Stegostoma tigrinum: one gene and its partners. The protein of the gene in region 4 purifies or fractionates together with the protein of the main gene of each other region. This does not show direct contact. Links are inferred from orthologs where the notes say so. Each region holds a gene or a part of one and is shown on either strand. Other genes may lie near its edges.

What was found.
Region 1: the proteins of zinc transporter ZIP4 (region 4) and agpat4 purify together in Homo sapiens (affinity purification with mass spectrometry; 3 studies listed by BioGRID and IntAct, with this or other methods). This does not show direct contact. The link is inferred for Stegostoma tigrinum from reciprocal best matches to the Homo sapiens genes SLC39A4 and AGPAT4.
Region 2: the proteins of zinc transporter ZIP4 (region 4) and vps45 purify together in Homo sapiens (affinity purification with mass spectrometry; 3 studies listed by BioGRID and IntAct, counting the BioPlex papers as one, with this or other methods). This does not show direct contact. The link is inferred for Stegostoma tigrinum from reciprocal best matches to the Homo sapiens genes SLC39A4 and VPS45.
Region 3: the proteins of zinc transporter ZIP4 (region 4) and abcb10 purify together in Homo sapiens (affinity purification with mass spectrometry; 3 studies listed by BioGRID and IntAct, counting the BioPlex papers as one, with this or other methods). This does not show direct contact. The link is inferred for Stegostoma tigrinum from reciprocal best matches to the Homo sapiens genes SLC39A4 and ABCB10.

The regions. Positions count from the first base shown.
Region 1 is NC_081362.1:24,999,411-25,007,211, forward strand, and holds the start of agpat4 (1-acyl-sn-glycerol-3-phosphate acyltransferase delta), read left to right. Parts: upstream 1-4,607; 5' UTR 4,608-4,721; intron 4,722-7,801. UniProt on the Homo sapiens protein: Converts 1-acyl-sn-glycerol-3-phosphate (lysophosphatidic acid or LPA) into 1,2-diacyl-sn-glycerol-3-phosphate (phosphatidic acid or PA) by incorporating an acyl moiety at the sn-2 position of the glycerol backbone.
Region 2 is NC_081400.1:976,749-985,243, reverse strand, and holds the start of vps45 (vacuolar protein sorting-associated protein 45), read left to right. Parts: upstream 1-5,419; 5' UTR 5,420-5,533; coding exon 5,534-5,626; intron 5,627-8,495. UniProt on the Homo sapiens protein: May play a role in vesicle-mediated protein trafficking from the Golgi stack through the trans-Golgi network.
Region 3 is NC_081362.1:804,281-811,881, forward strand, and holds the start of abcb10 (ATP-binding cassette sub-family B member 10, mitochondrial), read right to left. Parts: upstream 3,094-7,601; 5' UTR 2,951-3,093; coding exon 2,662-2,950; intron 2,081-2,661; coding exon 1,877-2,080; intron 1-1,876. Other genes in the region: cct4 (T-complex protein 1 subunit delta), read right to left, coding at 7,588-7,601.
Region 4 is NC_081355.1:158,138,478-158,146,824, forward strand, and holds the start of zinc transporter ZIP4, read right to left. Parts: upstream 3,217-8,347; 5' UTR 3,102-3,216; coding exon 2,883-3,101; intron 1-2,882. UniProt on the Homo sapiens protein: Selective transporter that mediates the uptake of Zn(2+). Plays an essential role for dietary zinc uptake from small intestine. The Zn(2+) uniporter activity is regulated by zinc availability.

The DNA of each region.
Region 1 (7,801 bases), on a different chromosome or scaffold from region 4:
CTCCTTTTTGCCCTCCTGATTTCTCCCTTAAGTACACTTCTACTGCCTTTATACTCTTCTAGGGATTCACTCAATCCCTGCTGTCTATTCCTGACGTGCTTCCTTCCTTCTCTTGGCCAAAACCTCAATTTCTCTCATCACTGAACACTCCCTACATGTACCAGCTTTGTCCTTCACCCCAACAGGAGCACACAGTCTCTGGGCTCTCATTATCACATTTTTGAAGACTTCCCACTTCCCAGCCGTCCCTTTACCTGCAAATATACAAGACCCTCTCTCCACCGCTCCCCCCAGCAACACCCAATCAACTTTTAGAAGTTCTTGCCTAGTACTGTCAAAATTGGCCTTCCTCCAATTTAGAACTTTAACTTTTATATCTGGTCTATCCTTTTTCATCACTATTTTGAAACTAATGGAATTATGATCACTGACCCCAAAGTGCCCCCCCACTGACACCTCAGTCACCTGCCCTGCCTCATTTCCCAAAAGTAGGTCAGGTTTTGCTCCTTCTCCTTTAGGTACATCCACATACTGAATCAGAAGAGATTCTCGTACACACTAAACAAATTCCTCTCCGTCAAAACCCTTAACACTATGACAGTCTACGTCTGGAAAGTTAAAATCCCCTACCATAATCACCCTATTATTGTTGCAGATAACTAAGATCTCCTTACAAATTTGCTCTCAATTTCCTGCTGACTATTGGGGGGTCTATAGAACAATCTCAATAAGGTGATCATCCCCTTCTTGTGTCTCAGTTCCACCCAAATAACTTCCCTGGATGTACTCCCAGAAATATGCTCCTGTAGTACAGCTTATCAAAAACACAAGGTCTTTAACTGTCAATTCTTCTACATGCTGCTTCCTGGGCAAAGTCTATTAGCTACAGTGGCTCAGATTAAATAATGGATTGATTTGCGAGTGCATAAAATATTTTCACAAAATATTTTTAAAACACAGTGTTCACAGTATATGTGATACATTGATTTATAATATACAAACTTTAACAATTATATATTGAAAATTACTACATGTTTTATCACTCCTGTTTTTGTTGGCATCTTGTATCATGTTCAATTTTAAGTGTTAAAATGAAGTCATTTTAAAAAGTAGTTTTAGAAACTCTGGGATACAAGAATATGCCCATTAGAAAACCTTCCAGGCCTTCTTTTAAAATAAATCACAGATTAGCACTTGAAAACTGTCATTTTGAAGAGATGACAGAGGAACACCATCACAGTATGAACTTCAGATATATTCCAGGATACTACTTGAGTTCCATCATGCCACTCTTGGGCAGCCACCATCACTTCACCCCCTCAAATTCAACTTGTTTGTCCATTTAATGTTCAGCACACCCGGATCTTGGTGGAATTGAACTGAGCAAGTTCTTCCTCAGTAAATGCATCCTAACAACACTGTTATGACACTTGCTGTTCCTTGGCAGATGATTGAATTGAGACTGGATAATAGGCTGGATGTCCTTTTTTTGTGTTAACAGGACACGCCTTTGCAACTTCCTTTTTGCTGGATAGATTCCTGTGTGGTGACTATATTGCAATAGCTTAATGAGAGGTGTGGCTAGTTGTGGAAACATGTCCTCAACACAACAGCCAGGATTCCACATCCAGTTCACTTAGCCATTTCTTAAGGTCACATGGAGTGAATCAAATTGGCTGAAAATTACATCTGTGATAATGACAACTCATACCCTATCTTTGTTTTTTGTTCTGCACATCCTACTCATTTAAATGCATGAGACTTTTAAGTTCTTTTTCTTGACCTTTCACGTACATTAAGATAAAATGGCTGACTTCTACTTGGCCTGTATGGGAACTTCCACATTGCTATTTAGAGGGAAGGCAGCTTAAAGGGAACATTCGTCAGTAATTTCAGGATGGATCAGCTGGCTGGCACATCTGGTTGAAATTGTTTATCAAAACCTTCAGCCTTGCCTTTTGCAATCAGAAACTCAGCTCATTCCTTGTTGACCATGGGGATTTTCATAGAACCTTTCCCTTCCTATAGTTGTTTAATTGTTTAGCACTATTCACATGTGGCAGAACCACAGAGCTTTGATCTGACCTATTAATGTGAGATCATTCAGCTCTCTCTTTAGTATGGTATTTGGCAGTTCTTTAATGGTCAATGTGAAGAGCTGTTCCGACACTATATTACAAGTATAACTTGGGCTGCATGTGCTAAAGCAATTACATTAGTCAAAAACAGGGTGGATTACTTGCAGGTTGTGATGCTTCAACTGTTGAATATTGAAAGAGTTTGATCACATTGAAGACAATCCAGAATTACCAATCCCCAAAAACCTTCGGACTTTTCTGAATTGTCACTCAAATTTTTCTGGACCTCTCTGAACACTTCTGGCAAAGCAGTTTAATAACAAAGCAGGCAAATGGTGCACCCTCTGAGCTCACCCTTAAGTGCTGAACAAAGACCTATTGAATGACTGACAATAGACATCCCTCAAAATAGTGGTCTGCACTCAACAGGATGCATATTTTCCATGCAAGGATATCACATTGCCTCCTTCTGTTATGTTGTTTTAAGGACAACATAGCATACTACGATGGTCACCTGAATGAAATTATTTACGGCAGATTGTGAACAAATGTAGCCTGTGAAAATTTTTTGCAGGATTCAAGGCAATGCATTGAACAACCCACAAATCTGTGACTTTGCTGTCCCATTTAGAATTAAGACTGGTAAAACCCTAAGATGTAATACATAACAAGGGAAAGAATAGGAAGCCTAATGCATGCAGCTTCCATTGTTTAATGGGCATGAGTTCATGTGTTGTAGCTTCACCAAGTTGGCACATTATTTTTAGATATGCCTGACATTGTTCTTGAACCAGAGTTGGACTCTTGGCTTGATGGCAAAGTTAAAATGAAATAAATGCAACAGTGTACAATTTTGATGCGATTGAGGGTCCAAAGCATAGCAAGGAGATCCAGTTTTGAGCTGCCAGATCTGTTGTGGAATTACATCATTTAGCATGTATCCAAAATGAACGTATGCTCCCAGGAAAATAGGAATTTCTCTACCAATGTAAAGTGTTGTGGTCACTCCTACAAATACTGTTCTGAATAAATGTGTTAGTGACAAGTTAATCGCTGAGGGCAAGTTCATTTAGGTATTTCCTCTATGATTGTTCCCTCACTCTGAAAAAACCCAATCTTTAGATAACACAGTGTGGAACTGGAGGAACACAACAGGCCAGGCAGCATCAGAGGAGCAGGAAAGTTGATATTTCAGGTCGGGACCCTTCTTCAGAAATTTCTGACTCCAGCATTGGCAGTTCTTACTAACCCCCAATCTATAGATCTATCTTTGAGAACAGATCATGTTCAGATGCTACTGAGCAGTTCTTGATAATTGATTTTGAATTTTCCATCCCCACATGTTGGTTATCCTTGTGCTTCCACAGTGCTTCTTCCAATAGGTGTTCAACATGGAGTACAGCTTCATCAGCTGAGTTAGGATGGTTGGTGATAGTTAGCTAGAAGTTTACTTGTCGGTGATGCTATGAGGATTCATGGGATCCAGAATCAAGAATGAGGATTTATAGCATCACTACCTCCTGATTGTATAGGATTGTACCATCATCTCTGTGACAGGCCATTCTCAGATGATGGTAAGGTCTGGTATATTGGCTATCAGGTATGATTCTGTGGATAGTTCAGTGTCAAATTATTACTGGATTGATCTGTGGGACAGCTTTTTCAATTCGGCACATATCCGCTGATGTTAATGAAGAGGATATTGCTAGATGCAAGGACTAAGTAACTGTTTGTTGTATTGAGTTATTCAGCTGGGTTATCCTTTCAGTTTTATTCCAACTAGAGTATTTCATATTGAGTGACTGACTTGTACATTTAAAAGGGAAATTAAGAGTCAACCACTTTTCTGTGGGTTTGGATTTCCATATAGTTGGGACCAGCAGATTTCCTTCCCTAAAGGACATAAGTAAACTAAGTGGGGCATGAATACAACAATCCAGTGGTTTAATGTTTACTGTTATTCATTTTTTAATTAACTGAATTTAAATTCTCCAGCTGCCCAGATTTTGAATTTGAACTCTGGTTATTCATCGAGGAACACAACTGCTGAGCCATCTTACCAATGTTCAGAAATAAGGCTAAAACAAAAATGAAAATTATGTTTGGAACACAATATCTAACAGTTCTTGCACGGATGGATTGCCTGGTATTTTCTTTACTGCACCATCTGCACCAAGGCCAAGGTACAATGAGGCAGGTCAATAGAAAATAGGGTGGATTGGCCTTCTGCTGGATACTCACCCTCAACTTGGAAATATAACATAAAATATGCTAAACCCTATCCACCAACACCTTTCCCCATCCAGACCCAGCCCTACTGTTAGTCTGAGCTAAAGAGTCTTGAATGGACTTTAAATGGTGGAAGGGCTTGGAGTTAGAAAACTGACCAAATTCCCTGCTATCCATACGAAAGCTCCATCTCATTTCCACCTTCCAAAGTGCATAAAATGACAGTCTTTGAACTGATGATTGCATTAGTCGATTAAGTGATGCCGTTTCAGGAAGGAAGCTCTATTCTTCCTGCATTGACGCAAGAGCATTGACATTTCAGTGCCTGAAATAAAGTTGAAGGGTTTGTTTCAAATAATGAAATAAGTTTACTACCAGCCTAACTTGCAGAACAACTGGAACTGGACTGAATTGGTGAGCAAAGTTGATATTATATTTTGTGGGCTTCTCCTTTGAGGTTACTGAGAAGATTTTCTCCAAGATTTTGTTTTATTTTGTAGTTGCTTATTGATTGTGTGATTCAGTTTTGCCGCTTAGTACTTCCTCTGTGAAAGACAGAAGTTGAATTTCTGAAATGTATGCTGCAGAGAGAGAGGGATAAAGATGCAAGCAGTGTAGTACACAAGGAGCATGGAAAAGGTTTCAACCATTGTACTGGCAACTAAAGAGAGTAGTTTTTTAAAAATAATTTATTAATCTGGTCCATCTAGCAGAGTTATGCACCGGTTTGTTACCTCATGGGTCCATGTGACTAATATTATATCACCACAATCAGTATTTGGAACTCAACATTTGCTCTCTTTTCTCAGTGAAAAGGTTTCTATTTTAAATTAAGCTCTACCATTTTCCACAAAAAATGGCATAGTAGACTTAAATTCAACAAGGTTTCAAATACGGAATGGTAATACCTGAGTTTCTGTAGAAAGTTGATCACTTTTGATTCCCTCTAAGTCAGCTCTTTTATGACCATGTTCAGACATAGCAACAGCAGAGTTATTCCTATAAGTTGAAAATATGGGTCACAGGAAATGTCCCACACCTACCTTTCATTGCTTTGCCGAATACTGATTAGAAGAAATGTGAAGAAATGTTCATTTTTGCAAGTTATGTGAAAAGTACAACTGTATCTTATTGCAAGTTTGATGAGATCCTTTCATACCCAGAAGGAACACAGCAAGTTCTTTGTGTGAGAACTAATGATTGATTACAAGTTGCTGCAAGTCTGTAGTGGCAGTTGGATTCTTAAGTCTGTTTAAATATCTGAGCTGAGGGATTTGAGTGCAAAATATATGGTAGTAAAATAGTTTTAGAAAATTACGGATTCCAGCTCTTCAAGGACTACAGGATTTGCAGTAATATTTTTTAAATAACACGGGAGAATGAATAGAAGATTGATGCAATTTTTGTCAGGGTTCATTTTAATATAATTAAGATGGCATCTCTAGCATTTTTTTAATCCCAGATCCAGTGGTTGGTGTTCATTTATCAAAGATTTTCAATGTTATAATTCTTGGAGTAACACTAACATTCAAATGAGTTATCTTTTACTTACAATAGTTACAATACGAGCAGCATTCTACAGCTGAGGGGAGAGGTGAATGCTAAATCAGCTGGAAAGTTGATCCAGTTTCCTGTCGGTTCCAGTGTATTCTGGAATTTTCCTCCAGGGGATAGTGGGGATAGGGTTGATGCATTGCATAACATTAAATGAGAGGAATATATCACCTACTGGTGAAATTTTCAGCTCATCCACAATATCTAAAAAAGAATTCAATTGTCACGGAGTCATAGAGTCATGCAGCATGGAAACAAACCCTTTGGTCCAACTCATTCACGTTGACCAGATATCCTAAATTAATCTGATCCCATTTTGCAGCATTCGGCCCGTATTTCTCCAAACCCTGCCTATTCATGTCCCCATCCAGAAAACTTTTAAATGTTGTAATTGTACCAACTTTTGCCACTTCCTCTGGCAGCTTATTGCACACAGACACCACTGTCTGCATGAAAAGTTTCCCTTTATGTCAGTTTTATATCTTCCCTCTCTCATTTTAAACTTATCCTTCTCGTGTTGGACTCTGCTACCATGGGAAAAAGACTTTGGCTATTCACCACATCCATGTCCCCCATGACTTTATAAACTTCTATAAGGTTAGGCCTCAGCCTTTGACACTCCAGGGAAAATAGCCTCAGTCTTTTCAGCCCCTCCCGATAGCTCAAACACTCCATCCCCAGCAATATCCTTCTGAATTTTTTCTGCACCCTTTCAAGATTAACACCATTTTTTCCTATGGCAGGGAGACCAGAATTGAAGGCAGTGCTCCAAGAGTGGCCTGACTAATGTTCTGCACAGCCGCAACATGACATCCTAATTCCTATACTCAGTGCATTAACCAATAAAGGTAAATGTACCAAACGCCATCTTTGCTACCCTGTCTACCTTTGAAACCATCTTCAAGGAATTGTGCACCTGCACCCCAAAGGTCTCTTTGTCCGGAAACACTCCCCAGTTGAGCGTATTAACAACTCATTCAATAATACGCTACCCTGCCATAATATAGCTGGCTGAGGACAGGATTCTTGTCAGTCTGTCCACAAGTTGCCATCTTACCTTCCGGCGAGTGCGGGAGCAGCTCATTCCCCATTAAAGGTCTGCCCACAGTGTCAGTTTCTGCTTGAATGCTGATGACACCTGCTTTATCTTACATTGACTGCCATTTCTGATCCCTTTACTGTCTCTAAATTGTCAAGATGCTGAAAATGTCCAGTAGTAGACAAACAGAAATTTCCAGAAAAGAAAACGGATAAATGGGACCACTAAAGCAATAGTGTTCAGTTTTGCCGTAAACTTTGTTGCCTAGCATTGACCTCATCCTTCCCACTGTCCACTATGTGGTGATGAACTTGACAATTCTTAACCCTATTGTCATATTTGACTTGAGATCAGCTTCCAATCACAGCTTTCAAACCATCACTAAGCCTGTCTATTTCAACCTTTATGGCATCACCTTATAGATTCAAACCTTATCTCAGCACATAGCTGCTGAAACCGTCATCTCTACTTTTGTTATTTCTAGACTTGACTATTGCTATGCACACCAGACTAGCCTCCCACACTCTAATCTGTCAACATTCTCCAATGAATTTAAGATGAACCAAAATTCTGCTTCCCATGTCTTAACTCACACCAAGTACCACACGAACATGAGAAGTTAGGAAAAATGACCAGGAGTAGGCCATCTGGCCCCTTGAGTCTGTGTCACCATTCCAGAAGATCATGGCCAATCACTATCTTAATTTTGCCCTCCAGTTTCTCCCCTTTCCCTTTGATTCATTTAGTACCTAAAAGTCTACTCACCTCTGACTTGAATATATTCAATAAATGAACATACATAACTCCTTGGGTAGAGAATTCCATTGAATCATAACCACAATCATCTTATCACAGGATAAGAAATTTATCCTTAACTCAATCATAGTGGCTGACCCTTTTT
Region 2 (8,495 bases), on a different chromosome or scaffold from region 4:
ATGTTTTGCCGACCTGTCATACCGATCGGTGAAGAATAAACTTTCATTTGATGAATTGTGCTTCAGGTTCCGAAGTGCTTCGCTGTCAATGAATGATCCTTAAAATGCTGCTGTGTAAGTGAATGCATTAGTCAATTTGCCTACAGCAGGTTGCTGCAATCATTAAGGAGTTAAGTGCATATTTAAACAGTTTAGCTGCTGTTTTTTCTGCGAGAAAACTCCAAAAGAAAGGTTTCTGTTTTTCTTCAAATGCAGTGATGGACTCTTCACAACACTTGACAGGCAATGAATTGTCAGCCTAGGTCATAAACTGAAATCCTGGAATGGGGCTTGGACCCACAACTGAATGATTCAGAAATTATCGCAATTGAGCCAGACCCAATAACAATTAAAGTATTGATGCAGGTTGTCAAATCTATCAACAAAACAAAAATAACCAGGGTTCAACCAGGGAGGGAAAGAACCGAAAGACAGAGAGTTTATATATTGAATCATGGTTAGATAGCCCTAGGAGTACTCCACACAGTTCGATTCTCCACACTATATAACTGGTACAGAGACAATGGTGAAAGTACAAAACAAAATTACAAGGACTTGGCCAAAAAGGGAGAATAGATCTATGACGAAATATTAACAGACTGAAGTTCTTTGCCTCAGAAAGAAGGCTGTGTGTTTAAACCTGATGGAAGCCTTCAAATTCATGAGAGGGTTTGACAAGATAGATGGAGAAGATGTGTCCACTTGTAGGGACGTCCAAATTTAGAGGTTATGCTAAAATGTTACAGAGACAGTTTATATTTAACATTGTATTGAAGTGTTATTGAAACAAAAAAAATCATGTTTTATGGAGATACTGGGAATTTTTTTGAGGGGGTCACTGAAAGTCATGTGGAAATGTAGATATTTTTTCACCAAGGTTTCCTGAGGATCAAATGACTGGTGCTAACTACTTGCTTTGCGGTAGATCTTGTGTTGAACACTGACTGCCTTGGAAAGGTTCTTGTTTTATCTGGATAAGTTGCAGGGAAGCCTGCAAAGAGCAAGCTGAATTGGTGTCAAACTTGCTCAGAAGAGGCTGCCCAGTTGATCTCTCCGAAAGATGAGATGACATAGGAGCAGCAGTCGGCCATTCAGCTCATCATGTCTGCTCTGCCATTCAATGAGATTGTGGCTGATCTGATCATCCTCAACTCCACTTTCCTGCCATTTGTTTAAAAATCTATCTCAACCTTGAAAATACTTAACAACCCAACGTTGACAGCATTCTGTGATAAAGAATTACACAAATTTAATAAGAAGAAATTTCTCTTCATCTCTATTTTAAACGCATGATCCCATTTTCTGAGATTATGCTGCATTGTTATGGACTCTCCCACAGCGGGGAAACAACCTCTCTGCATTTAACCTGCCATGTCCCCTAAGAATCCTTGAGATAGCAGGAACTGCGGAAGAGTCCCAACCAGAAACATCAACTTTCCTGCTCCTCTGATGCTGCCTGGCCTGCTGTGTTCCTCCAGCCCCACACTGTGTTCCCTAAGAGTCTTTCATGTTTTAATAAGGTTGCCTCTCATTCTTCTAAAGTCCTACTAAATGTCACCTCATAAGTCAGTGCCTCCATACCTGGGATCTGCCTCATTAACTTTTTCTGTACTAATTTATATTTCCTCAGTTACGGTGCCAAAACTGTTCACTGTGGTTTAACCAGTTCCTTGTATAATTTTTGCAAAAACTTCTCGAGACCTCTCCACATTTATACTCAACTCCCTTTGAAATAAAGGTTAACATTCCATTTACCTTCCTTCTTATATGCAGAACTTGTAAGGCAGCTCTTTGAGATTTATGCATGACATTGCCTAATTCTCTCTGTGCTGTAGTTTACTGCAGTCCTTTTAAACTTAAATAATATTCAGTTCCTCTATTCTTCTTGCCAAAATGCATTCTCGATTCTGAAAAGAAAACAATGTACAGTATTTCAGGGGGAAGCCTGTTTGTTCGAAGATTTTCAAAGATTGATTGAGGGAACATCTCAAGGTTGTGTTTGCTGAACAAGCTGTGTCTGAAAGACTTCAGAGGCACCTGTGTATGATTAGTGACTTGACCACATGTGCCAGAACATCACAGCAACAGATTTCAGATCATCCTACACTCTATCATTTGACTCACTGAGTCATAGGATATTACAGCATGGAAAGGGGCCCTCTGTGCCCATGCTGATCATCTATTCCAATCCCATTTTCCAGGCCTTTATGCTGTGTCATATCAAGTGCTCATCTAAATACTTAAACGTCTTGAGGGTACTTGTCTCTACCACACTCTTAGGCAGTGAGTTCCGGACACCCGCCACTTTCTGATCAAGGTGTACAAAGTTATGAGGGGAATACAGAAGGTAGACAGAGAGAAAATTTTCCCCTTTGAAAGGGAGTCAATAGCCAGGGGACACAGTTTTAAGGTAACCACACTCTGGATGAAAATAATTCTCCTCAAATTCCGTCCAAACCTCTAAAACGAAATCTTAAAAGTTTGTCCGCTGGTTATTGACCCTTAAGGTCAATATAAGGGGAAAAAATTTTCCAGGTCTACCTTGTGTATATCCCTCATAATTTTATACACCTCAATCAGATACCCTTCAGTCTTCTCTGCTCTAAGGAAAACAATTCCACCCTACCGTGTCTCTCATCAGAGTTGAATTACTCCAGCCCTGACAACATAAATAATCTATTGGTCAAAGTAGTTCCTTTTCTTCCAGAAGGATAATTTCTGCAAAAATGTTTTTTGTTCTCTCTTTTCCTGAACAGCGTTTGTGTATGTTTGACTTCATTCCATTCTCCTGGTATCTCTGTCCCTGTCGTATATGTTCCGCTGAGGCCACCTTCGACAAGGAGCCTCCAAAATGTCCACCTTCTTCCTCAACCAAGGATTCTCCAGCACCATTGTTGACACAGCTCTCAACTGGGTCTGACCCATCTCCCCGACTTTCCGCTCGTAACAATGATGGGGTTCTCCTTATCCTTCCCTACCACCCTACCAGCATCCACATCCAGAAGATCATCAGTCACCATTTAAGCCAGCTCCAGTGAGACACCATCACCAGACACATATTCCCCTTCTCTCCCTTGTCTGCCTTCCACAGGGACCATTCCTTTCAAGACACCCTGTTTCACTCTTCCTTGACTCCCAAGAACTCCCCACAGCGCTATGGCACCATCCCCTTCAATCGCTAAAGGTGTGACACCTGTCCATTTACCTCCTCCCTGCCCAATACCCAGGGCCCAAACACACCTTTAGGTGAAGCAGCACTTTACCTGCACTTGTCACAATCTAGTTTACTGTATTTGCTGCTCACAATGTGGCCCCCTCTACCTTGGGGAAATGAACATAGACTGAGTGACCACTTTGCAGAACATTTATGTTCTGCCTGCAGAAATGACCCTCAGATTCCAGTTGCCTGCCAGTTTAACACACCACCCTGTCCCCTGGCCAATGTTCTGACTCAGGCTTGCTGCAGTTCTCCAGTGAAGTGAAGCTCAAGCTGGAAGAACAGCATGTCATTTTCCGCTTGGGAATCCTGCAGGCCTCTGGACTCAATACTGAGTTCAATAATTTTAGGGCCCAAACTCTCTCATGTCCTAGTCCCCAACCCCACACACCAGGCCTTGTTATCATATAGTCTGCCATTACACACTGCCTATTGTTAGCCACTAACAGTTATTCATTCTCCTGGCTAGATCGTTATCTGTTCCTTCGTCTAGCCAACTGGTCTTCTCTCTCTTTGGGCTCAATCTCTAGCTATTGCTTACACCTTATCCCCTCCCTCCACCTTATCTTCTGCATGTAAATCAATATTTTCCTAGCTACCCTCAGTTCTGAGGAAGGGTCACTGAACTTGAAATGTTGACTCTGATTTCACAGATGCTGCCAAACCTGCTGAGCTGCTCCAGCAACTTCTGTTTCTGTTTCTGACTTACAGCATCTGCAGTTCTTTTGCTTTTTATTTAGTGTTTGTGTATATTTTGGAGATACTTAAAGGGATAAACTTTTCTTCTTAACTTATTTATTTATTAAACTTTGTTTTGGTGATAAACCCATAGTTGGGCATATTAAAAATGTACTTGGTAAATCCTGCTGTTTAAAATCCAATAAAGTATTTAATTGGTGAAAGAAAAACAGCGGTTGCTGCAGAAACTCAGCATGTCTAGCAGCATCTGTGGAGGGACAGAGTTAAATGTTTTAATTCAAATATGACTGTTTTTCAGAATAGCGAGGGCTAGAACACTGAAGATACCAGATGATAACTCTTTTTATTTGATTTGACTGATGTATTGTTGTCACATGTAGTGAGATATAGTGAAATGTGTTGTTTTGTGTGCCCTACTGGCAGATCATGCCATACAAAGTGCATCAGGTAGCATAACAGAGTGCAGAAAACAGTGCTTCAGCTGCAGATAAGTTGCAGAGAGATTGATCCACATTAACATTTGACAGGTCCATTCAAAAGTCAGATAACAGTGGGGAAGAAGCTGTTCTTGAATCTGTTTGTAAGTGTATTCAAACGTTTAAAACTTCTGCCAGACAGAAGAGGGCGCAAGAGAGTATAACTGAGGTAGGTGGAGTCTTTGACGATGTTGATTGTTTTCCCCAGGGAACAAGAGTATAGATGGAGTCAATTGATGGAAGTGTGGTTTGTGTGACGGACTGCGTTGTGTCTATGACTGCCTAGAGTTTCTTGTGATCTTGGGTCAGCAGTTGCCATACCACCCACGATGTGCCCTGATAGGATGCTTTGCATAGTCTGTTTCTGTCTCCTAGATGCTTCCAGATCTGCTGAGTTTCTCCAGAAAATTCTGTTTTTATTTCAGATTTTCAGCATCCACAGAATTTTACTTTGATTTGACCGGTGGTAACTGGAAAGAGGATATTTATTTCATGTGGCCCATCAAGTAATGGGACAAGAGTGACAGCGCACTCGTCTCCAAGCTTGGTCGCAGCGATGTTACAATTAAAGAGGAAATTAAACGAAAGAGGTTTTCATCTAGACGACAGTGAAGCAGTATGGAAGGGGGGGGGTGAACACATCAGGGAGAATGGAACAGGTGTTGCTGATGGGCTAGGAGGAGGTTTCAGTGCAACACAAAATTCGCAAACACTGGATGGGCTGAATAGCCTTTTGCTGTGCTGCAAATTCAATGCAAACTACGACCTGGCCATATTTCCGGGGTCTGGTTTTGAGTGAGAAAAAATGTTTGCATTCTTGTTGTTCTTTATTGGGACATTCACTTTACTGTATCCTCTGAAACACAAACCCCAAAACATAGCCGACTGCCTGAACGACGAATGAGCAACGTCAACCAATAAACCCACCTTGCGCCTGCAACGTTGATCAAACATAATCGGAAGTCGGCGTCGGCCAGTGGGGCACGCCGGGAGTTGTAGTTCGGGTGGAGTGAGGAGCGGTCAGAGCCGACACACCAGCGCAAACATCGAGCTGTAGTCAGCGCGGAGTTCGGCAACTGTGTCCTGGAAGTCCGCTGCAGCCATGAATGTGGTCCTGGCAGTAAAGCAGTATATTTCCAAGATGATCGAGGAGAGCGGGCCTGGCATGAAGGTGCTGCTGATGGACAAGGAGACGGTGAGGACCGGGGAAGGCCTTTCCATGGGAGAGGAAGGATGGACGATCATTCTGTCCATCTAACCCTGTACTGTACCCGGGGAGAGTGACCGTCAGTCACTGTCCATTTAACGCTGTACTGTACCTGGGGAGAGTGACCGTCACTCACTGTCCGTTTAACCCCGTACTGTACATGGGGAGAGTGACCGTCACTCACTGTCCGTCAAACCCCGTACTGTACCCGGGGAGAGTGACCGTCAGTCACTGTCCGTCTAACCCCGTACTGTACCCGGGGAGAGTGACAGTCAGTAACTGTCCGTTTAACCCTGTACTGTACATGGGGAGAGTGACCGTCAGTCACTGTCCGTCTAACCCCGTACTGTACCCGGGGAGAGTGACTGTCAGCCACTGTCCGTCTAACCCTGTACTGTACCCGGGGAGAGTGACAGTCAGTAACTGTCTGTCAAACCCTGTACTGTACATGGGGAGAGTGACCATCAGTCACTGTCCGTCTAACCCCGTACTGTACCCGGGGAGAGTGACCGTCACTCACTGTCCGTCTAACCCTGTACTGTACTTGGGGAGAGTGACCGTCACTCACTGTCTGTTTAACCCCGTACTGTACCCGGGGAGAGTGACCGTCAGTCACTGTCCGTCTAACCCTGTGCTGTACCCGGGGAGAATGACCGTCAGTCACTGTCCGTCTAACCCTGTACTGTACCCGGGCAGAATATCCGTCAGTCACTGTCCGTCTAACCCTGTACTGCACCCGGGGAGAGTGACCGTCACTCACTGTCCGTCAAACCCCGTACTGTACATAGGGAGAGTGACCATCAGTCACTGTCCGTCTAACCCCGTACTGTACCCGGGGAGAGTGACCGTCAGCCACTGTCCGTCTAACCCTGTACTGTACCCGGGGAGAGTGACAGTCAGTCACTGTCCGTCAAACCCTGTACTGTACATGGGGAGAGTGACCATCAGTCACTGTCCGTCTAACCCCGTACTGTACCCGGGGAGAGTGACCGTCAGTCACTGTCCGTCTAACCCTGTACTGTACCCGGGGAGAGTGACCGTCAGTCACTGTCCGTCTAAACCCGGACTGTACCTTGGGAAAGTGACCGTCACTCACTGAGCGTCTAACCCTGTACTGTACCCGGGGAGAGTGACTGTCAGTCACTGTCCGTCTAACCCCGTACTGTACTTGGGGAGAGTGACCGTCACTCACTGTCCGTCTAACCCTGTACTGTACTTGGGGAGAGTGACCGTCACTCACTGTCCGTCTAACCCTGTATTGTACCCGGGGAGAGTGACCGTCACTCACTGTCCATCTAACCCCGTACTGTACCTGGGGAGACTGACCATCACTCACTGTCCATTTAACCCCGTACTGTACCTGGGGAGGGTGACCGTCACTCACTGTACATCTAACTCCATTCTGGTAGAGACAGATAAAAAACCTGCAGATGCTGGAATCCAAGGTGGACCATCAGGAGGCTGGAAGAACACAGCAAGCCAGTGCACATCTGGTGGGAAGGAGAAGTGAACATTTCAGGTCTTACCCTTCTTCAGGATTGGATGTGGGCTTTGGGGGAGCTGCTGATAAAGACAGCAGGCAGAATGTTGGTAACAGGCGGGCACTGGTGGTAGGTACAAATTGGTTGGTCAATGGGAGAGATGATTCTGGTTGATGGCTGGAACGGAAGGTCACAAGGTGGAATGGAAGGGAGGCGGTGGGGCTGGAAAGGGAGTCGGGCAATGGAGTGGAAGTTTATTTGAAATTAGAGAATTCAACATTGAGTCCTCTGGGCTGTAGGGTGCGACACTGGAGGAGTTTGAGGACGGACATGTTGGGACGGATGGGAGTTAACATGGGTGGTTACTGGGAGGTTAGGCTGTCCGTTTTGGACCAGGCAAAGATGCTCATTGAAATGATTACCGAGTGTATGTTTGGTCTCACCGATGTAGAGAAGACCACATCGGGAGCACTGGGCACAATAGACTAGGTTGGAGGAGCAGGTGAAGCTCCGTCTCACTTTGAAGGGCTGTTTAGCGCTCTGGATGGAGGTGAGGGAGGTGGTGTGTGGGCAGGTGTTGCATCTTGTACTGTTACAGGGGAAGGTTGGAGTGGTTGGTGCGCTTGGTACCTTCCCCTGTAACTGTAAAAGATGCAACACCTGCCCACACACCACCTCCCTCACCTTCATCCAGAGCCCTGAACAGCCCTTCCAGATGGCACCACCTGCATCTCCTCCAACCTAGTCTATTGTGTCCAGTGCTCCCGATGTGGTCTTCTCCTAATCGATGAGACCAAACATACACTCGGCAATCGTTTCACCGAGCATTTTTGCCTGGTCCAAAATGGACAGCCTAGCCTCCCAGTAACCACCCTTGTTAACTCCCATCCCTCCCAACATGTCCGTCCTCAACCTCCTCCAGTGTCACAGTGACTCAGAACACAGATTTGAAGATCAACACCTTACCTTCCGCCTGGGCACCCTACAGTTCTCCAGTTTCAAATAGTCTTCCCACCCATCCCCCATCTCCCTTGCCAGTGCCACCTCTTCCCTTCCATCCCACCTTCAGACTTTCCCTTCTAGCCACCAGATTCATCCCTCCCATTGATCAACCAGGTCATGCTTACTACTAGTGTTCATCTATCACCACCATTCCACTACACCCCGTCCTCCCACTCTCTTTATCTGCAGCTCCCCCAACTCCCACATCCAGTCCTAAACAAAGGTAATACCCGAAACATAGACTTCTCCTTTCCTCGATGCTTGCTGGCTTGATGTGTTCTTCCAGCCTCCTGTTTGTCTCATTCCATCGCGTGCCTGGGGAGAGTCCATAAAGGACTTTACTCTGTATCTGACCCTGTGCAGTACCTGTCCTG
Region 3 (7,601 bases), on a different chromosome or scaffold from region 4:
GTCATTATACTATTAGGCCATTTCCTCTCCAAGGTTCACTTCACCCTCTTCAGTGAGGTATAAACAATCCCATGTACTATCTGAAGAACAGGGAGACACTCCCAATGTACAATACCAGCAAAAAGAATAAGTCAGGAGTGTAAATGAATACTCTGCACATGCCAGGATGAATGCAGCTCAACAACACAACTCTATCTAGGACAAAGCAGCCTGCTTGACTATACCCTATCCACTGCCTTCCCCATTGAAGTACAGTTGCAGTAGTGTGCATCTTATCAACAAGATGCAGTAACTCACCCAGGCTCTTTTGACACACCTTCCAAAACCATGACCTCTACCACTTAAGAGGGTCAATAGCAATACACAAATGAAATATTAATACCTTCAACTTTCTCTCCAAACTGCACACCAAAACTATGTTACCAAAATCCTGGAACCGCTATCCTCGTAGCGCTGAGGATAAATGCACACTGTACAGATTGCAGTCGTTCAAGAAAGCAGCTCAACACTTCTCTCTGAACAATACATGTTGGTCTAGCCAGCAATACCCACATCCAGTGGGCAAATGAAAACACTCTGGAGTCAGAAGCAGAATACCAAAATTTGCAGATGACACCATGTTGCAGGGCAGAGTTAATATAACGGAGCACTGAGTAATAAAGACAAGTTTAATAATTCAGAACGGCTGTGTAAATGGGAAACAATTTTTCACTGCAAAAAGGGAGTGCTGTACTATGGTGGAATAATAAGCATGCTAAAAAGTGAGCAGAGAGATCAGGACATGGGTACACATTCACAAATCCTTCAGACCATAGTAGTTTTAAAAATGTGGTGAATTTGCTGGGGGGGGGAGAGTAAGTGACAAGTGAAGGAGGAGCAGGCAGCAGACAAAAGGATGGATATTGCTAAGTCAAAGAGAAAGACAACGCAGACCATAATATGGGAAAATTCTGACGTTCTGAAGAAAGGTCCTGAAACATGTACTCTGCCTCTTCTCCACAGGTGCTGCCAGACCAGCTGAGTTTCTCCAGCAATTTATTTTATTTTCATATTTCCAGCCTCCATTTTTTTTTGGTTTTATTAATAATAGAAGTGTGCATTAACAAAGCTCTAAGGAATAGAATTCAAAACCAGAGAGGTTTGTTAAAACTTACATTGAGTCAGTTAAACCGAACTTGGGGGATACGGTGTACGGTTTTGATCTCCAGATTACAAAAGGGACAGCGAAGCATGGGAGAAAGTGTAGAACAGATTTACAAGGAAACTTGACAGGTGGGTTTCAACTATCAAGAACGGCTAGGGCTCTGGTGTCTGGAAAAGTGTGGTTTTGTTGCGATCTTAAACTCTGAAAGGCTTGTCAGAGTTAAATTTGGAATAGGTAGTTTAACATTGAAATGGGTTATACATAGTCACAAGGCCAACAGGGAATTTAAGAAACTTTACCAAGAGATTGATAACAATTGCATGTTTTCCAAGAGTAGTTAGATGAATTACATGAATACCTTTGAATAAAAAAAACATAAAAGCATGAAAGATAACAAGGTTTAGAGCTGGATGAACACAGCAGCCCAAGCAGCATCAGATGAGCATGAAGGCTGACGTTTCGGGCCAAGACCCTTCTCTTGGGATGTTATCCCATTCTGATGCCACTTGGCATGCTGTGTTCATCCAGCTCTACACCTTGTTATCTCAGAGGTGAGATGGAGTTGGTTCTGACCATCAATTTGGCCCGATGGCCTCAGTGTCTTATATCGCTATTCTAAAATTCAGTTCTATTTTTGTGGAACCTTACGATACATGCACTGTATTTTCCTCCACAAGCATGCAAACACCAGAAGTCCCTTGCAGTCAAATTGTTGCACAGACATTTTCTTACCTGAAATCTGCATGAGGTAGACACGGACAGCATTGGCAGCAGCTCCACAAATGAAGACACCACTCAATATAGCACACAGTGAGGTCAGGCTCCCAGTTACATTCTCTCCAACAGGATTCATATAAATGGTATCAATAACTTTTCCCAAAAAGAAGGGAGCAGACATGGTCACCAGGCTGGACACACCCAAGAAGCCCACAGCAGCTAGGGAGAGAAAACAATACAAACTTGTAGATATCAGAGCAACTCAAGGGCAGGCTGACTGTACTGCAAAGATAAGGGGGTCGATTAATGGGCAATTTATTACACAGAACTGGCTGCTGATGCACAAATACAGCCAACTCCCTTGATTGAATACCACAACCGTGAAAACACATGCCCTTTTACAATCGAGTTTCCGCCTGCAGCTTTAGAAACTGACAATAATATTGAGGACACAAGAAATTGCTGCCCGGGAAATTGACATCCTCTCTTGGGAGCATTTCTTTTCGAAAAAGCATGATGGGCATGTAATTCTCTAGCATCATTTCATGGTATTGCCCAATCGGTTAATGCAGCTCAGCAGACAAGTGAGATTTCTGATGACGGGGCGTGTGTGTGTGTGTGAGAGAGAGAGAGAGAGAGAGTGAAGGTGAGCTAAACATAAATTGGGAAATGGTGCTGACGAGGCTCAGCGGCTGATCTGAGGAATATTCTGGACGCGGATGTCACCACCTCCGACCCCCAAAGAGGGGAAGCACTGACCCGGTTCCGCTCCATACCCTCTCCCGGATGGCAGCGCTTACCTGAGAGCGGCCACCGCTCCGGGTAGGCCAGGGTTAGCAGCCTCCTGGCATCCACCAGTGACGCTCCGGTGGTGGGCAGCCGGCTCCGCTCCGTCTCCCGCTCGGCGTCAAGCCGCTGCTTTGGGGGCTGCAGGCCCGAGGCCGGGGCCCTGTTACCATGGTAACCCCCGCCGGCCGCGAGCCCCGAGCTATATCGCGGGAGCCGGTTCCACTGCAAACTCTCGGCGGCTGCCTGCTGACAGCGTGGGGTTAAGCCGCGCCGGCTAAGTAACAGAATCCGGGAGGCCATTCGGTGCAGCCGAAACAGTGAAGGGAGAGTGGAAGAGAGTCAGGGCCTGACCCCTGGCATCACTCGGACCATCCCAAAGGTCCCGAGCGTTTCCTGGTGCTGCTATTTATTGTTGCAGACGCCGAGCTTGCACCGCCCCCGAGCTGCCGCCAGTGAAATGTTTCAAACATTTCCCAACACACCCACATCGGCGCAGTGACACCCTCCAAAAACTTAATCTCACAATCTGGCTCTCTCCGGTACTCTACTGTTTATTCTCTCTCTTACTCCACACTCCGGGTATTTCCCTATTTTCTAATTAACGTTGCCTACTTAGCTATTTATAAATAGTATTTTTACACGCATTGGCCATTGCTCCTGCAACTTTACTAAATTACATAAACATTTGAAACTTTTAAAACGGTGTAATTTTACTGATGATTCGTCACTTAAACTGTATTGACATATATATAACTGCTGAAATATATACATATGTATAATATATATATATCAACAGTTGTTGCATTTGTCTTCCAATTGATGTTGGCCCTTTTGCATTTCGCCTGCTATATAAATATGGAGTTGTGAACAAGGAGCGAAAGCAGAAATTGCTGGAAATGTTCTGCAGGTCGAGCAGCATCTATAGAGAAATCAGAGTTGGCGACTGAGGTAGGGCCACTCGACCCGAAACATTAACTTGCATTTCAGAAACTTTCATTTCTGAAGAAGGGCCTAGGCATCTGCAGTTCCTACCATCTCTGAAACATTAACTCTTGCTTTCTCTCCACAGATGGTCCCAGGAATTCTAAGCTTTTCCAGTAATTTTTCAGATTTCCAGCATCCACAGTTCTTTTGGTTTTTATTTAGCACCGAGAATAAGCTGTTCTCATGTTATGATTAGGGATAAAGAAATCAAAAATCTAAAAGTTTGGACAGTGTCTGCCCTGTGCATTATTTCCTAGCTATACTTCAGTACGAGGATTTTTAATTCCCGGTCTTGCCATTTTCATTTTAAGCTTAATCCGCTTGAAGGAACAATATTATAAACTTTTTACTTTAGTACTCACCATTTCTGCGACTCCACAGTTCTCAGATTTTAACACCTCCGCCCAATATAATTGGCCCTGGGCGTTATGATACCAAAATTTCTGCTTTTTGCTGAAATGAAATAACTGATTTAGCAAAGAGCAAGGAACTACGTTCTTCCACGCCCTGGTACAAACAGTGGCTCAGTGGTTAGCACTGCTGCCTCAGTCTCAGGAACCCCAATGCTGCATGGGCTTCCTCCACGTGCTCCATTTTTCTCCCACAGTCCGAAGGTGTGTAAATTACGTGGATTGACCTTGGGAAATGCACGGTTACAGGGATGGGATGATCTCACATCTCCTCGACTCAATGGGCTAAATGGCCTACTTCCGCACTGTAGTTACTGTATGAGTACCATAACCTGCAGGAGGCTATGCACAAAATGCTGGAAAGTAGACGAAATGGGATGGCTCGTTACACAGCAGATGCAGATACGACGCACAGTGGCCTCTTCCTGTGCCGTTAAATACCATTTTATCAAGTTGCAACTCAAGTATTTCTAATAGCCTTGAAACTTTTCCCCCACTATACATATGCCCAGCCTTCAATGGTATAATCTCGCATGTGGTGAGCAAAATCCACAACCCGTCTGTATTGTTGAACCAAAACAAAACCTGAAAGAGCTGTGGCAGATGTAAACCAGGAACAAAAACAAAGTTGCTGGAAAAGCTCAGCGGATGTGGCAGCATCTGCAAAGGAAAAAAGTTAACGTTGAGTCAGACCATAAACATGAACGCTTTCCTTTTCTCCTTCATAGATGCTATCAGCCCTGCTGAGCTTTTCCAGCAACTTTGTTTCTGTATTGTTGTACTGCCTTGCTGCATTACAACTTACATATTCACTTGCTTCCTTAACGTCAACTTCTTTGCCACTGGCTCAATTTTCCTCCCAAGACATTTGTACAGACTAGTAACATTATAGTTGCATTTGCATGACCGAAGAGAATTCCATTTCGTAGCAGCAGCACTGCTAACATGCAACTTTTCAATACCTCAGGCCACTGTCAGAAAACCCTCATTTCTGCGAAAGGCTGATTTTGTCCATGGCTCAGTTCGTTGAATAAAAACAATTTATTGAGCAAACTGTGTGGCCAATTACTACTGGCTTTGCCTCAACATCTCATACAAAACTTTTTTAGGTCCTCTTCAGCTCGAGTATTCTCCCTTCCTGCATCTCACTTGATTTGTCTTCAGTCACCCTGGCCAAAAGGCCAGAATCCAATTCTGTATTACATGTATTAAGCTAAGTATTTTCAGCAAAAGCTATTTATTCTGCATATCAATGCTACAGATTAAATTGTTTATTGACATTAGAATTTTATTTTCATGTAATTTAGATCTATCCTCGTTAATGGGCATGATTCACTGAAGGTATATTTTTAGAATTATAGAATTCTGACATTGTGGAAGCAGGCCATTTGGCCCATGTCCATACCTACCCTCCAAGGAGCATCTCACCTAGACCCATTCCCTACCCTATCACCATAACCCTGCAATATCCATGATTACACATCTACACATCGCTGGACACTATGGGCAATTTAGCATGGCCAGACACCTCCCCATTTTGATAGTTTTTTTTTAAAAAACATCAGCAAGATGACAAAGCAGATCAAAACACAAAGCTATAATAAACTATGAAACCATATTATGTAGGAGCTAACTGAATGAGGTTTGATATACAGGCAACACAACTGTTTTATTCTGCACAAATATTTCATAGCAAGTCTTCCTTAGTTTTCGTGCCCATCCTAACAAGCTAATGTGTATCATTTACACAACTTATGAATTATTGGAACTCTGGAAACCTGTGTTGTCACACTTCAATATTAAGCAACAAAAACATTGCTACAAATGAGTTAAAATGTCTTTCCAATCGCCACTTAAACACAATGTACAGCGAGGCAAATAATTAGCAAATGAACAAAAAACAAAGCTGCTGGAAAATCTCAGCAGGTCTGGCAGCATCTGTGAAGGGAAAAACAGAGTTAACATTTCCAGTCCAGTGACCCATCTTCAGAACGGAAGATGAGTCACCAGACCGGAAACATTAATGGTTTTTCCTTCACAGATGCTGCCAGACCTGCTGAGATTTTCCAACAGCTTTTTAATTAGCAAATGAGGCTCAACATAAAAGAGCAGCATAGTGGCTCTCTGGTTAGCACTGCTGTCTCAGTGCCAGGGACCCAAGTTCAATTCCAGCCTTTGATGACTATGTGTGGAGTTTGTATATGTTCCTGGTATAGCATGGGTTTCCACCAGGTTCTCCTGTTTGCTCCCACAGTTGCAAAGACGCGCTGGCTAGGATTAGCCGTGGTAAATGCAGGTTACAGGGACTGGGTAGTATGCTCTTCAGAGGGTCAGTGCAGACTCAATGGCCTCTTTCCAACTCCGCAGGGATTCTGCAATCAGTAGTTGCGTGGTGGTATACTTTGGTTGGAATAAGGAAACAGCTTAGAACTTAAAAGATGCATGGATAGAGAAACTACGGGATATCATGAGTACAGATATACCAAATCACTCAAAATTGCATCATGGGTTCACAGGGCTACAAAAACCCAAACTGAGCAGCAGGCTTTATTTCTACAGAGAGGCTTGAATAACTTACTCTAAACCTGTACTGCACTTTCATTGAAAAAGCAGCTCTGGCCATCATATTAGATAAAAATAATATACAGTAGACACAATGAAAAGTGTGTACAGAAGATTTAGGATGATACCAGAAATACATGGGTAGATATTTCTCGGGAATGGACTGACAGCGTCCGTAAGAAAAAACCCACTAAGTGGTGGTCAAACAAAAATCTTCAAAAGAACGTTTTCTCTCAATAGGGGGACCATTACATAGAGCTATCAACATGACACAATCACCAAGAATTGCAATAGTAAATTCAGAGAAAATGTCTCGTGAAGTCAGAATATTGACTTCACTATCCACTAGGAGTGGCCAAAACAAGCAAATGCACCACTAATTCAGAGACCAAGGTTAAATTCTGGGTGGTGAGTTAAAATCCCACCAAGGGAGATGAAATGTGAATTCAACTAATAGATTTTGAAGTTAAAAGCCTGGTCTACATGTGATTCCAGATCTACAGAAATGTTTGACTCTTAACAGCCCTCTGAAATGGCCACCTGGTTAAAAAGCAATCAGGGATCGGCAACAAAAGGTAATTTTGGTCAAAGCTGACATCCCATTAAAGGATGAAAAACAACTGAGGAAAAAAGAACAGATGGCTGAAATAGTTCAATTTAGCGGAGGAAAAAAGAGACTTGGGTGAAGGAGAAATTCTGGCACGGATTGGCTGACCTGCACTGCATATTCTATGGTTAATAGTCATAATAAAAATGACCACCATACAAGAACACTAAAGCTGAAAAGAAAATTGTGGACAAAAGCAAGGTGAATTTCAAATTTTGAATATTTTATTAAATTAAAGCATTACTACAGTTAGTAAACAAACATGTGGCAACTCTGCATTGTTACTATGGAATATCAGAAACTTGTGCTCAATCACAAGTTGGCACAGCAGACGACCATGGATATTCAAGACATCTCAGTCACTTCTGTTGAATCTATCGTGCATTAA
Region 4 (8,347 bases):
GTCTGAGTCAGCAGCTGTGGCACGTGCCATGGAGCATACACTGAAATGGTGATGCTGGGTGCCCAAGTCCAGAGGTGTAAGCAACAGGTGGTAGAATAGAAATCTGCGCATTAATGAGGCAAGATTTGCAGTGAATGAAACTGACAAGAAATAATCACCATTAATAGGCAATTCATGCTCTCTTAAAAAAAATCTTGTCTCGATTCTCCCCCTACGTCCACCCCGAAATGCTGTTTGTCAATGCAACAAGTTGCTCCTGATGTTGAGAAAAGGCCTTGCCTGACTTCGTATTGAATTCTCCCAAGTTTCTCATTATACAGCGCGCTAGAAGACAACTCAATTCAAAAATTTAAAGAAAACTCGTGTTTTTTTTCGCCATAGCCCATTGTTGTTCAGGCCCATATAAGAGTCTGTGTTACGTAACCACTGTTGATTATCATAACTGCTTCACTATTGTCCTTCAGGGACGGAAATGAGCCAACCTATGTGGTCTAGCCTACATGTGACTTCTGTCCCATAGAAATGTAGTTAACTCTTAACTGCCTGCTGGGCAATTATATATGGGTAATAAATGCTGGGTTATCCAGTGATGCCCATGTCCTATGAATAACTGAAAATATTGTCCTGTGAATAAATGAAAATATTGTCCTGTGAAATATCGGACAAGTTTTGGTGATGTCCACCTCCCAAAAGAGAATAAATAAGATAAAGTCAGAAGTTTCCAGTCCGACCTGGTTATGACATGGCTAGTTCAGTTAAGGTTCTGGTCAATGGTGACATGTCATTATGCTTAAAGGTGCCATATAAACACAACTCATGGTTAAACAAATTAGTTTGACATGAAAGGACGCAAGAAAGGATAATTACAAATACCAACAATTTCAGTTATGAGGAAATAACCATTTGTAGTTTGATTTGTTTCCTTTGCATTTCAAAATAAGGAAGGGAATTGACAGGTTAGGGCAGGTTAGACCTAGACAAGTCTGTTCGTGCATAAAATACCAGCAATATTTAGAAACAAGATGGGCCAGAGCAGCATAAAAGCCTTCTTACTTAGGCTGGATATTACAACACACCCAGGTGGGGCACATAATATCGGTCAGGTACCTTGCCCACCATGTTCCCATCCAGGCCCGAGTTCACCCCCAAATTACACAGGGTCCATCATTGGTAAATAAACAAATATCCACCTCACCCCTACTTCCCCATAATTTTCAATAATTTGACCATAGACTTCGAGATTGAATAGGAAACAACCTGTGAGGTCCTTTCACACTCTATAATCTCTAAAGAATAATGTCACAATGGAGATTGGATCTGATAAATACAGCAGTTGCTAATCTAAGAAAGAAAAAAGTCTTTCACTGCCCATGAGAGTAAAGGGTAATTACGAAGTCACTGTTACTAGCTTCATCTGTGGAATGTTAATACATTCTAACCTTTACTCAACGAGTTTTGTTAATAGGGCTATTGAATTATGGTAAACTGAGGGATATTAGTTTCCCTTCCCTTCCTTTCTCCCATGCTAGGCAACCAGTAACTTTAGCCGTGGAAATAATCACAAACAGATTGTTCGTGTGGTTTGTTTTCAGTATTTTTAATTGCTGTTTAAACACCCAGTTATGTTCTTGACAGATTTCTGAAGGCTTCCATGATTTTGGCTGATCATCCTGACTTATTGCAAACAAAGTATATTCTAACTTTGAACTATATCTGAAAAATAAATTAAATTTTTGAATACCCTTGAGGATATTTCACTGTCGATCATGGCTCAGATAGCACATTTGCTTCTGAATCACAAAATTTCGGATTCAAGGTTTAAGCACAAAAATCAAGCCTGAGCTCTAGCGTAATACTGAGAGAGTGCTGCACTTTTGGAGATGCAATATCAAAACAGAAACCCCATCTCTCTATTGAGAGCTGGATGTCAGAGAACTGATAGCACTATTTCGAAGCCAAGAAGGGGACCTTTCCGTGGTGTCATGGCCAATATTTTCCCTCAAGGAATATCGCTGGAAACAGTTTAGACGCTTATTTAAATATTGTTGTTTGAGGGAAATTGCTCTGTATAATTTGGCTGTTGTATTTTCTACATTACAACTCAGACTATTATCACTCTTTTCTTGATCGTTCACTGCTCCTAGGTGGCTTTACATGTTTGTTCTTTTCCTTTACTCAGATCTCCCAGAGCTGTGTGATAGTTCCTTGCCTTTCTTTAGCCTACAGAAGTTCTCCCTGCCATAATATTTCTTGATTTTCTGTTGACCCCCAGTCATCTTTCTAGTTGATACGTGGTGAGTAGTGCATTTTTGTGGTATGAGTGGATTTGTTTCCACTGCATTGTTCAAATTAAGTTACCAAAATTTCTTTCTCAGTAAAATGCAATAATCATAATTCTTTGTCATGTTATTTTTTTAAAATGTCCTCTTGTGCAATGCTGTTATTTCTCAAATGTTAGTCTACATCTGATCTGTGAAAAATATCCTCCAGTTATGGATAAACATAATACATTGCCTTTATTTTTAAAAATAAACTTAACAAAAGGTGGCAACTTGCTGATTAACTAAGATCATTTTGAATAGTGGCAATAGAACATGCACAAATTTGAAGAAATAAACTTTTCTAACAGAGACGATATTCCATTGCATTTACATATATATATATATATATAAACTTAAAGACAGAAATTTAAAGTTGCATTATCTTAACTCATTTTTATAAAATACCACACAGTTTGATTATCCTACTGGTGCCTATAATATGTTGCAATATAAAATGATCCAGCAAAATGAGTTACTGCTTAAAATCACCTTCAGATGGCACCAACAGTCTGCAGTGGAGTTTGTTCCCTAAATGTAATAATCAGAAAGCCTTGCAATTACCTCTTCACACGACACCTCAGAACACTGCACACGGTTCCCTAAGATATGTATTAAAGTGGTGACAGCCATCTCGCTCAAAATGTCTTCTCCTGGGACTAGGAGATCCACCACTCTCCTGAAGACTTCTTGTTTAGAGATGAAAAGAGATCCATTTCCCTGCGAAGCTGCCTGCTTTAGAGCAGCCAAAATCACAGAGAGCAGCAGAAACAGCCTAAACATGATGCAGTGAACAATTAAAAGGGAGATGAACTTTCAGTTCCTTCACACAACAGCTTATTCAGGAAAGCCTTGAATACTTCTATACAAAGATATTCAAATGGCTGCAATTTAAAGTTGATGAGTTTTATAGCTAACCTTGTGGCAAATGTTCACCCTCTCCAATACCCACCTCCTTGACTCTTGATTGGCTGGAAGATGTTAATGATGTCAGCCATTACATTAGAAGGAAACTCCCAGAACTGCAGATCTTACGTTAATAATGATACCAACTATTTGGACGATCAAAGCAAACATATTCACTTTACCTTGGACATTTCAATTCTATTAATAATTATTTCAAGAAAAAATTCCTTTAACAGATTTTATAATATGTGCATACCCATTCTGAGTAAAACTTTGCTCTACTTCCTGCACCTATGTACTCTCCAAGTCACCTGGCTTCCCTTTAATAAGTTATTGAAAGTAAACAAAATGTTACTGTGACTTTAGAAAGGTGAAAATCAATACTTTATCCTGACATTGAAAAACAACCTTCCACTCCCTTCTTCCCAGATTTAATTATTTTTCTTGGCTTCATCGTTGCTTATTAAATTTAACCTTTCACCAAATTATTTTACTTTAGTTTTTAGATTTGTTCCAATTTCTATACCGCCAGCTTCTCAGCTTATGTCCATGGCGGCTTTTTTAAAAAAATCATTTTTGGTATTTTTTAATTTTAAAAACATAAAGTACCAGAAATACAGATAAATATATTGGCCCCTTCTAAAAAGGAAAGATGGCTTAACCTTTTAGGTGAGTATAAGCTTGCTCATTTTTATTTATATTTAAAAAACAATATGTGAATTTCTACAATGACAGTAACATACATTGTTGGAAGAAAACGAAACATCTCTTTACCCCTTTGCATTCAAATTTTTCCATTCCTTATCTGAAGGAATTGGAATGGAAGTTGATTTCGGTGCATCCTCTGGCCGGATAACCCTCAGAATATGCCAGAGGCCCAAGGCTCATTTGGAATTGAACCACTGTGAAAGCCTGCCAGGCCCCCCGATGCAGATATACCATGCACATAGTTTGGGTCAGCTAACACACTGGAAGGAATCTTCTGGCAGATTCTGAGAATAAAGGAGAGGGAAATGGAGAACTGGAGTCTCAATGAACATGAGTGAACAGGAACTATAGTGCTACAGATGTTGGAGAAATTGCATTCTCCCTCACTCCACAATTAACTATGTTTGGCAGTTTCTAACAGTTGCTTTAAGGACTGTTTGTGAAGGGAACAAAAGAACATAGAACACGATGTTGTGCCAACCTATAATCCTATTAAGATCAATCTACCCAGCATATCGGACATTTTACTATCCTCTGTGTACCTATCCAAGAGACAGTTAGAAGTCTCTAAACGATCAGACTCTAATACCACTGCCGACAGCATTTTCCACATGCCCAACACTCTGTGTGAAGAACCTACCTCTGGCATCTCCCCTATGCCTTCCCTCCAATCACCTTAAAGTTATGCCCCCTCGTGACAGTCATTTCTGCCCTAGGAAAAAGCCTCTGACTATCCACACTATCTGTGCCTCTCATCACCTTGTAAACCTCTATCAAGTCACTTCTCATCCTTCTTTGCTCCAATGAAAAAAGCCCTAGCTCCCTCATCCTTTCCTCATAAGACCTGCCCTCCAGTCCAGGCAGCATCCTGGTAAATCCCCTCTGCACCCTCTCTAAAGCTTCCACATCCTTCCTGTAATGAGGTGACCGGAACTGAACACAATATTCCAAGGTTTAATCTTATAGAGTTGCAGCATAACCTCACGGCTTTTAAACTCAATTCCCCTACCAATGAAAGCCAACATATCATACGCCTTCTTTACCCTATCAACTTGGGTAGCAACTTTGAGGGATCTATGGACGTGCACCCCAAGAACGTTGTTCCTCCACACTGCCAAGAATCCTGCCATTAACCCTGTATTCTGCATTCAAATTTGACCTTCCAAAATGAATCACTTCATATTTTTCCAGGTTGAGTTTCATCTGTCACTTCTTTGCCCAGCTCTGCATCCTGTCAATGTGCCACAGCAACCTACAACAGCCCCCCGCACTGTCCACAACTCCACCAACCTTCGTGTCATCAGCAAACTTAGTAACCCACCCTTCCATTTCCCCATCCAAGTCATTTATAAAGATCAGAACACCACTGGTCACCAAGCTCCAGGCTGAGTAATTTCTATCTATTACCACCCTTTGAACAGCCAGTTTTGTATCCAGACAGCCAAATTTCCCTGAATCCCATGCCTCCTTACTTTCTGAATGAGCCTACCATGTGGAACTTTATCGAATGTCTTGCTAAAATCCATATACACCACATCCACTGCTCTACCTTCAATGTGTTTTGTCAAATCCTCAAAGAATTCAACAAGGCTTGTGAGGCATGACCTGCCCCTCACAAAGCCATGCTGACTATTTCTAATCAAACTGTTTTTTTTCCCCCAAATAATCAGAAATACTAAGTCTCAGAATCCTCTCCAATAATTTGCCCATCACACAAGACAGACTGACAGGTCTGTAATTTCCAGGATTATCCTGATTCCATTTCTTGAACAAGGGAGTGACATTTACCACCCTCCAATCTTCTGGCACACTACTCCAGTGGACAGGGAGGATGCAAAGATCATTGCCAAAGGGACAGCCATCTCTTCCCTCCCTCCCTGTTATAACCTTGGGTATATCCCGTCTGGCCCAGGAGACTTATCTATCCTCATGTTTTTCAAAATTTCTAGCACATCCTCCTTCCTAACAACTTGTTTGAGCATATAAAGAACCAAAAATAAAAACTAAGCAGAGCGTATCAAGCACAGCTCAGCTCAGCAGCACTCATTTTTTTCATTAAGATGATGAAACCAACATTAGTACATGGACATTCAAGAAACTTAATGGTTTCAAACATGCTACAGATATTCTGAGAGTGTGAGAGACAACGGGTGTTCTGCACCTGAATATAGACACAGCAAGGGTGCTCTTGTGGTCACTAGTAGTGTCCCTACCTCCGAGCCAGGTTCGAGGCACACCGATTCCCAAGATGTGTTGTAAGGCACGCAGACAGGTTGAATAAAATTATCAGTAGGCACAGTAATTTCCAATTTCTCTTGCTTACTTCCCATAACAATTGTTTCTCATTGCCCAGCAATTCTATGACTATCCTATGCTACCACACTGAGTGACAACATATAGCCTGCTGTCATCTACAAACAACATTCACACAAAAATCACAAAAAACCTGGTTGATGAACATTAATTATTTGTTGTTTAACATAGTGGAACTTAGTAACCAGCTTGAGAGATAGAAACCTGAGTTGGAAACAACTGTGCTAAGCTTAAATGAGAATAAAGACAGGTTAAGCAAGTTTTTTTTTTAATTCAGTCATGAAATAGGCATGACCGTCTGGCCAGAATTTATTATCTATACTTCGTTGCTCTTGAGAAGGTGGTGCTGAGCAAGAAGGCAAAATGTTAGCAGATGGAATATATTGTGGGTAAATATGAAGCACTTTGACAAGAGTAGAGGAGCTGAATATTATTTAAATGGTAATAAAAACTGCAGAAATCTACAAAACATAACGATTTGGGAGTCTTCATCCATAAATCATAAAAAGCTAGCATCCAAGTTCAGCAGGTATTAGGGAAGGCAAATGGAATGTTGGCTTTTATTTCATAGAAAATAGAATGTAAAAAGTAGGGGTAATAGGAACTACAGATGCTGGAGAATCTGGGATAACAAGGTGTAGAGCTGGATGAACACAGCAGGCCAAGCAGCATCATAGGAGCTGGAAGGTTGATGTTTCAGGCCTAGACCCTTCATCCGAAAAATTTTGAGGGGTCTAGGCCCGAAATGTCAGCCTTCCTGCTCCTACGATGCTGCTTGGCCTGCTGTGTTCATCCAGCTCTACACCTTGTTACCTCATAAACGGAGGGGTGTTTGCTAAAATTATAGAAGATACAAAAGTTTGAGCTCCTTGTTTAAAGAATGATATACTGCTGTTGGATGCAGTTCAGAAAAGATTCACAAGGCTGATACCAGGAATGGAGAGGCTGTCTTGTGAAGAGAGGTTGAGTAGGTCGGACCTGTATTTATATAGAAGAATGAGAGGTGACCTTACTGAAATATATAAGATTGTTGAGGCTTGACCAGGAAAGGTTATTTCCCCTCATGAGACAGTCTGGGACCACAGGCTATAAACTCAGAGTAAGTGTCACACATTTAAAACAGAGATAAGAAGGAATTTATCTTCTCAGGGGATGGTAAATCTGTTCTCTACTGTGGAGGGCTGTTGAGGCTGGGTTATTAAGTATATTCGAGGCTGAAATAGATTTTTCATCTTTAAGGAAATCAAAGTTATGGGCAATAGCAGGAAAATGGGTTGAAGATTAGCTGGACAGCCATCATCTGATTGAATGGTATAGCAGTCTTGATGGACTGATAGGCCTATGTCTGCTTTTACATCTTATTGTCTTATTTCCCCCAGCCAATGGCCCAATGCTATACTTTTATCCTTATGCAGAGACCATTTGCTCATGTGACATCATCAAGATGGTGGTGGAGTAGGGCTCCTGAGCCAGGGCTCATCCACTCCGACCTATTTTCTTTTTCTCTCCTTTCTTGTTTGTTCCTCTTTTCCTTTCCTTTACTTACCTCTTGTCCTGAGCTTGGATGGCACCAGAGGCAGCGAGGAATCCCAGCATGGACGCAAGTGGGCCCACTGCGGGACTCGTGACTTAGCGAGTAGTCTCTACTTGCTTTTCTGGGACGAGCGCGGGACCTGGCATCGGAATCAAATGGTGCTATATTGTTGGAGGGAATGTCAGTGAGGTAGGCCCAGCAGTGAAATTTGGTGCCCGAAGATCAACGACTTCTTCGTTGTTTGGGTTTGGCACTGCCAGCAACAAAGAGGAGGGATGGCAGAGAAGGTGTCATTGATGATGAGCAGACTCGGGACTGATGGACTCTCTTTAAGCTAGATCTTTTTTATTCTCATTTTTAAACTATTCAAAATGGCAATGGATTTCTGCAACAGTGGGAAAGGTTTTTCACTTTTTTTCCCCACTGGAAAACACACGTGACAATAAAATTCATATAAGCCAGGTTTCAGAACTTGGCCTTGGCCTGTTTTTGCACAACTCAGATGCAAAATGCTGCAATAAGTTTGGTGTTCCTGGCTGCCTGAAAAACATGCGATTATTCTATCAGT